2 linked regions of the Danio rerio genome follow. The protein of the gene in region 2 purifies or fractionates together with the protein of the main gene of each other region. This does not show direct contact. Links are inferred from orthologs where the notes say so. Each region holds a gene or a part of one and is shown on either strand. Other genes may lie near its edges.

The links. Proteins that work in one complex are often made in the same cells at the same time.
Region 1: the proteins of cdc26 (region 2) and cdc27 purify together in Homo sapiens (affinity purification with mass spectrometry; 12 studies listed by BioGRID and IntAct, with this or other methods). This does not show direct contact. The link is inferred for Danio rerio from reciprocal best matches to the Homo sapiens genes CDC26 and CDC27.

What each region holds. Positions count from the first base shown.
Region 1 is NC_133178.1:20,785,965-20,789,464, forward strand, and holds part of cdc27 (cell division cycle protein 27 homolog), read left to right. Parts: coding exon 1-9; intron 10-130; coding exon 131-283; intron 284-379; coding exon 380-588; intron 589-737; coding exon 738-855; intron 856-983; coding exon 984-1,112; intron 1,113-3,500. UniProt on the Homo sapiens protein: Component of the anaphase promoting complex/cyclosome (APC/C), a cell cycle-regulated E3 ubiquitin ligase that controls progression through mitosis and the G1 phase of the cell cycle.
Region 2 is NC_133180.1:62,620,792-62,624,710, forward strand, and holds cdc26 (anaphase-promoting complex subunit CDC26), read right to left. Parts: upstream 2,500-3,919; 5' UTR 2,440-2,499; intron 1,951-2,439; 5' UTR 1,926-1,950; coding exon 1,845-1,925; intron 896-1,844; coding exon 710-895; 3' UTR 501-709; downstream 1-500. UniProt on the Homo sapiens protein: Component of the anaphase promoting complex/cyclosome (APC/C), a cell cycle-regulated E3 ubiquitin ligase that controls progression through mitosis and the G1 phase of the cell cycle.

The sequences.
Region 1 (3,500 bases), on a different chromosome or scaffold from region 2:
TACATGCAGGTGAGTCTGCGTTGCAGAAATGAGGTGAAATCAATTACCAAAGGCATTCAAATTATAATGGCAAGTAGTGGAAAATGTTTTTGTTTGTTCTCACAGAAGATATTTTTGTCTGTTTAATTAGGCGGAGAGGATTTTTTCAGAAGTCCGACGTATAGAGAGCTATCGAGTAGAGGGTATGGACATCTACTCAACAACACTTTGGCATTTACAAAAGGATGTGGCACTTTCTGCCCTATCTAAAGACCTCACTGACATGGACAAAAACTCACCTGAGGTAAGTTTATCAAGGCAGTAATGCAATTATTAGTTGGAATATTATTCAGTTCAGTAAATCAGCTGCTTATCTTTTTGTTTTTCCACCTCTTTACAGCCCTGGTGTGTAGTTGGTAACTGTTTCAGCTTACAGCGGGAGCATGACATCGCCATTAAGTTCTTCACACGGGCCATCCAGGTGGACCCCAGCTTTGCTTACGCTTATACACTATTAGGGCATGAACTGGTTCTCACAGAGGAGCTGGAGAAAGCCCTGGGTTGCTTCCGCAATGCTATACGCCTCAATAAACGTCACTACAATGCCTGGTATGTTTGTTACTTTACATGACACCAAAAAAAAACCATTAAATAAGTCGTTCACTCACAATCATTTTACTTATCCAGTTGTCTGACAGATAAGTACCATCTGCTATTTCAGAAGCAAAAAGACTTCATCTTTCTGTCTCTTACCACAGGTATGGCTTGGGAATGATTTATTATAAGCAGGAGAAGTTTAATCTAGCCGAGATTCATTTCAAGAAAGCTTTTAGCATCAATCCTCAGAGCTCTGTGCTACTCTGTCATATCGGAGTGGTGAGTAAATCAGCCTTTATGTACTTTTTGGTTATGCATAAAACATAACATGATAATCACTGTTTAAAATTTCTGATAGGATTTTTGCTGTGCTGCATCTTCATATTGTTTCTCATGTACTCTGTCAGGTTCAACATGCTTTGAAGAAATCAGACCATGCACTGGAGACCCTTAACAGAGCCATTAGCATCGACCCTAAGAATCCGCTATGCAAATTCCATAGGGCCTCAATTCTGTTTGCCAATGAAAAGTACAAGGTACTGCTCTACTTGTACTATAATGTTAGGTGCAGTGAGTGATTTCTGAGAAACTCTGTTATATTTGAAATCTGACATCAAAGCAAAAATACACCGCCCCTTAATACTTAAACATGCAAAACAACAGGCAACCGCTACTGCAGAGTGAACCATATGCAGTTTAATAGTTCTTTACGATTGTTGCTCGTCAATCTATTCACCTTATTCTACGTGTATGAGCGAGCACAGCCGTTTGAATCTTTTTGGCTGGAGACTGCTGGTCTCATTCACTTCCATTCATTTTTGTGACATTAAAAACCGTTCTTTCTTCTGCTTGATGTTGCAAACTGATCTTTTTTTGTTTTACTATTCTGCTTCGTCCGTGTTGTCATGAACATACTTGCTTATAGAGGACCGTTTATTTGCCGTTTATTATTCCTAGTCATTTCTCCGATAGACGACTGAATCAGAAGTTCTTAAACAATCGCAAAAACGAGTGCACTATCACATTTAAGAATAGGGTCAATATCAGGGGTGCTCAAACGTTTCCTATGCATGGCCAAAACCAAACATAATTGACCCTTCGCTAAGCCCTGCCCAATAACTGCCACCCACCAATCGTGGCTTAGCAACTGTAGCTACGCGCAGGGGCTCTGTCAAGTTTTCGAGCGAGTGCATATGGATTGTGCAAATCTGATACCCGGTATCCTTAGAGTTTGGACTGGGCGGTGGAATTTTTCCCCTTTTCAAAACCTAAAATCCAAAAGGAGAAATACTAGCGTGGATCAAGCAGTGTGAGGGGCACTAAAAGAGCAGAGCTAAGTTGATTTTGTTTTGATATTCCTGACACATTCAGTGACAGACAGACGGCAATAACTCACAAACCTCTTACCCTAAACAGAACTAAACTGTGTTTCCTACAAAAACACAAAGCTGGTTATGTTTCACAGCTTTCTTATTCCTTTTTTTTTTTTGCTCTATTGTGAGTAATGCTCCGTTTAAGCCTTCGCCATAACGTTAGTAACTTAGTCATAATAGCGAATAAGTCATAATGACAAGAGTTATTGATTCGGAAAATACAAATCTGCGAATCTGTTGCTAACTTTACTGAACGTCATATTTCCATCTGTTTCAAGCTATGAATATTAGAAATGACAAATTAGCAGAACAAAACCGAGATATGATCACAAACTGAGCAGCAGATCAATATACTTTACCCGCAGCTGCTGTTTTTCAGTCATTTATAAAGAGCACACAAACATACTGACAGTAATAGGTAACTTATTGTTATGAGTCAATGATGCTAATATTCGACACAAATCCATCAGTTTCCCTTTCTGGCTGTTCTTTCTATGAATGAACTATGTAAAAGCACTGTCATGCATGTTTCTTCATCGGTTAGTAACTCCATTTCATTGCACAACAATTAATCCATCAGGCTTTTTGGCTAAAAATAGAGAAATCACGGTTTAATTTGTTATTATTAGATTATTTTTAGATTTCCCCTCTCCTGCTGAGCATGAGCTAAGCTGTTAAATGGTCAGCGTATGAGGTGGCTAGGCTAAGCTAGCTTCAATTTTAATTGATTTATTCTCTAATCGGTTGCCTATTATGTGGTGAATATACCCCTGTAATGCATACTGCAGTCCTTTATTGTCTGGCTTTCTCGGATATCTCACCTGTTCGCCAAAAATAACATTATACCCCTGGCAATGATTGACACCGGCGCACACATTGAAAAAGCTGTGCCAGGCACGAAAGCTTGACAGGCGTAGCAACAGTAACTAAGGAGGGGGGGCTTAGCGAAGGGTCCATTGAGAGCTGTGGGCGGAAGGTCAATCTAGCAAACTCTATTACAAAGTTGCCATAGGTAATTTTCTTTTTTTTTTATGTATATTTATAATACTTATAGATGGAAATTACTTAATCATGTATAATCATATGAGGTTAACTATTGCATTATAATTTTGTATATTTTATAATTAACGTATCCCTATGAAAAGAAACTATTCCATTTACAACACCATGGCTTTCAGTGCACATTTAAATACTCTGACCCATTCACAACATTCAATTGAAACATTTAATTCAAGCTTGTTTTTTTGTAGCATCACAATAAAACAAACAAAAGCTTATATTAAATTACAAAAGACAATCTCTATTAAAGGCAATTCCTCCTCCAACCCTTAATTTGGGATGGCGGGCCAAATCAAAGGTTATCATGGGCCAACTTTTGCAGATCCTAGTTTGGGCATCACTGGTCTATATGAATAGTTAACCAGCTTTAAGTCATGATACACTGTGGGATCTCAGTTGCTAAACAGTTGCCACAAACTCCAATACTTTCAAGACCCCCTTGTCTTCAAAAGAAAATTGAGAAAAAAAACAAATGTTTTGGAAAAAAAAATT
Region 2 (3,919 bases):
GGTGAAAGACTCAAGCCTGTTTCACACCGCAGGCATGACCAGAGAGTGTTTTTTTTCGCATCCATGTTAACAGATTAGAGCTTTCATACTGCATGCAGAAGCAGTGCGTCAACACGAGGCATGAGCATCATGCAAGCAGTCGTGGTTTCGCCGCTGGGTCTATTTTACCGGTGCATTGATAATGACCAAAAACACATTGAATGAGCAGTTTTACCAAATAATGCATCAATAATATCCACTGAATTTTTTATATGCACTTAAATAAAATTAAACGATTAAACCAGCAACAAATATTTAGTTGGGCACAATATATAAAACAAAATTTAAAACCGTTTTAAACTATTTATAAACTAATGGGGTTTTGGGATCAATGAATGCAAATAATCATGATAAACGTGATTATTTCTAATACTATAATCGTACAACCAAAATTTATAATCGTTGCGCCCTAATCGGTATTATCAAAAATATAATTCTGCCAATATCACATTTACACACCATTTCCACATCCAACTAGAAAGGCTTTATTTATTTCAATAGAAAAATAGTCATTTGAAATCAGTTATCACAAACACCGTTAACCAAAGCCATAATTTTATGTCCATTTCTAATCTGGCAAGATTGATGCAGAATATATTCTGTGTGCACGTACGTGTCTGTGTTACAGATTCTCAAGACCTTATAGTCCATTGTTCAGGATTGGCACTTGTCAAAACTGAAGGTTTCCGAAGAGCGATGGTAACGTGTTAGGCTTGGGGTGGGGTTTGTATCCAATTCTCTCGTGAATCATCTGCTCTCTGGTTTTCCCATCAGCAGTGCCACCTGCCGCTCCGCTCATCTCACTGGATGTGGCGACACCGACGACATCCACCTCATCCCTCTGTTTCTTCCGACTCTTAACACATGTGGGGAAAGTAACATGAGATTATAGAAAGCTTCTTACTTTCTGTAAGATTTGCTTACATGCTTGCTTTTAAATGAGAAAAAGAATGATGAAGAAATCACACTATTACTGACTGATTTGCAGTGGTGGACTAAGAATTTTTGCTTTATTTTAATTAAGTAGGGGAGAGCAGGGACTAAAGTATCATTTTCATAACCTAATAATATCATTATCATAACTTAATCATAATTGATAATGTTTTTAGCAGAAATATATTTTCGCTGTGGTTACTAACACATAACTGTAGTCTATCAAAATCAGCTGTAGAACAACTCCAATACAACTTTACTTTTGATGCTACAAAAAAGCTGGTTGATGCAACATTTATGTTGATATTGGACTACGCTGATGTTATCTATATGTATGCTTCGTCTTCTAGTCTGCATGCACTGGACACTGTTTACCATGCTGCACTAAGATTTATAACTAATTTTACTGCTTTGTCCATTTGTAGGCTCAAGCACTAGCGTATCTCTGTTTACATTTCTATATTGGGTTTACTCCCATCAAATTTATAGAATTACATTCGGGAAAATCCTGTCCTCGGACGAAGCAGTCGCACCAGACCTAGTGCTGTCGCCTCACAGCAAGAAGGTCGCTGGTTCGAACCATGGTTCAGTTGGCGTTTCTGTGTGGAGTTTGCATGTTCTCCCTGCATTCGCGTGGGTTCCCTCCGGGTGCTCCGGTTTCCCCCACAGTCCAAAGACATGCAGTACAGATAAATTGGGTTGTGTTTAGGGGTAGGGGGATAGAATCTACTGTTTGTACAGTAGAACCATCATTAAGGGGTCTATGAGAGTCCCCACTGGGATGAAGGAACATGTCTTTATGTGTGTACAGTAAATTGAAGCAACTATTTATGACACATGTTTAAGACACGATGACAAGTCCAAAATTTTACCTCCAGCTCTTTCTTGACACTTTCAAACTCCTCCGTGTCGTCCAGCTTGAGCTCGAGGCGCGTTGGTTTCCTCCTCAGCATCTTCACATCACCGGCTTCTCGTTGCCTGGAAACACGTTACACGCGCTGCTTAAGTTAATTTACACACTTATTAACGTTAACGTTACATATATAATGTATGTTCATTAGAAATCGATGGGTTAACCTAGTTGAGTTGTGGTAGTTCTATTCAACTCTTCATATATATTTTGACTCTGAGAAAGCTCAAATGCTATGTTTTAAGGAACCTAACGTTGCAAAAGCCCATGATTGCAGTATTATATCTGCATACACAGTACACTTTACTTGAACGTTTACCGTCGTGTTGTGTATTTCGTAATTTCAAGAAATTCAGCGACGCCTGCTTCAACACCATAACGTTATTGTTTAGCAGCTACATGCTAATTAGCCTAGTAGCTCTAAATTCTGGGTCTTAAACAGTGACAAACGTCAGGATAATGAACCGTGAAGATCGTTTATTTTAGTAAGCTTGGCAAACTATTGACAAACAATTCTAAACTGAAAGAAGATGACTATTTCAGCTCACATCACTTACCGTAATCATTCACGCTTTAGACCGTAGAAAGAGCAGAAGGAATCATGGGAAATGTAGTTTAAGCGTGAAGGGAGAAAAAAGGGATAAACGTGTGTGTTTTTTCTGTTTTTATATTTTTTCAAGTTTTAAATTGATAATCGCATTAGTTGAATTATTCTTTCACTGTCTATTTAAGGGCATAGACGGTTGAAATGTTCATTAACCTTAGTTTTTTTCTTCAAGTTTTTGATCGATTTATTTAGTTAAACCTTTAAAACTAAATGTACAAAACTTGTTGTTTTAGAACGGTCCGTGTACGTTTTGTTCATTTGTTTTCCATTTTCAAACGGAATAAAGGAAATGGAGAAAACGGCCGTTTTTCCTTTTGCTCACGAGAAAACGAAAAAACGAGATTTTGGCTGGATTTTCGTTTTTTGGTTTAGGGTAGGAAAACGGATAAACGACTTTAAAATTCATTTTACACATGTAGGCGGTGCTGAAACGCCCACTTTCCTCTAATTGGTCAACCAAATCTGCGCTCGTGACGTCACCCTCAAAATAAAAGCCTTACACGCAGGCTTTTAATTATTATTATTTAATTATATATTAACTAAGTTTACATATTCTATCATTTGAACCACACACAGTTAGCAGGCTTACATTCATTGCGTATGTATAAATTAAATAAAAACGTAAAGCAGTATTCTTAGACATTTGTCATTAAAATAAGGTCATAGTTCACTGCCAAGCTTCTTGCTGCTGTGCACCTGATGCAGAGCAAAGATAGCCATTTCCGAGGAGCACCTGGTTTACATGATTGTTTCATAACAATCTTTATAATAATATAATAGGGCTTTATAATAATAATAATTATTATTATTATTAATATCAGTTACTAGTGTTTTTATTGTTTGGTGTGTTTTTTTTCTTTTTAATAGTTGTTAGCAGAACCAGAATAAGAACACTTTGGGCCCTGCTATAAAAACAAAGGGTACCATTTGTTTTCATTTACTTCTTCCTATTTTAATTATATATTGTAATTATTTTTTTGATAATTAATACTATTTTATTGCAACGCCAAAGTAGGCCTGTCTTATTATTTTTTTCTATTATTAAATTTGCTGTTATTGTAGGCTAGATGGCAGGCTTTAAATATTTTAAATAACATTTACTCATAACCTTACTAATTCGAGAGCCGAACCTAAAAAAGTTTAAGTGCAATAAGCCTGTACAATAAAGGGAGCCGCAATGCAAATTTCTAGCGCATTCTTTCACTCAACAATTATTGCTGGAATAATGAAATGAATTTTAAATTAACTAATTAAACACATTATAGTTGATAAAAAAAATTGTGTCTAGTAGTTCCGACAAACAGATGAGCTCCCCACCCAGCAATAGTTCGTCGAATAGACGTCGAAAAGACGACATTGTCAGACGTCCAAACAACGTGGAAAACAGGTGGGAAAGTGAAAGACGAAACTACGTCTTTTTAACGTCGTCG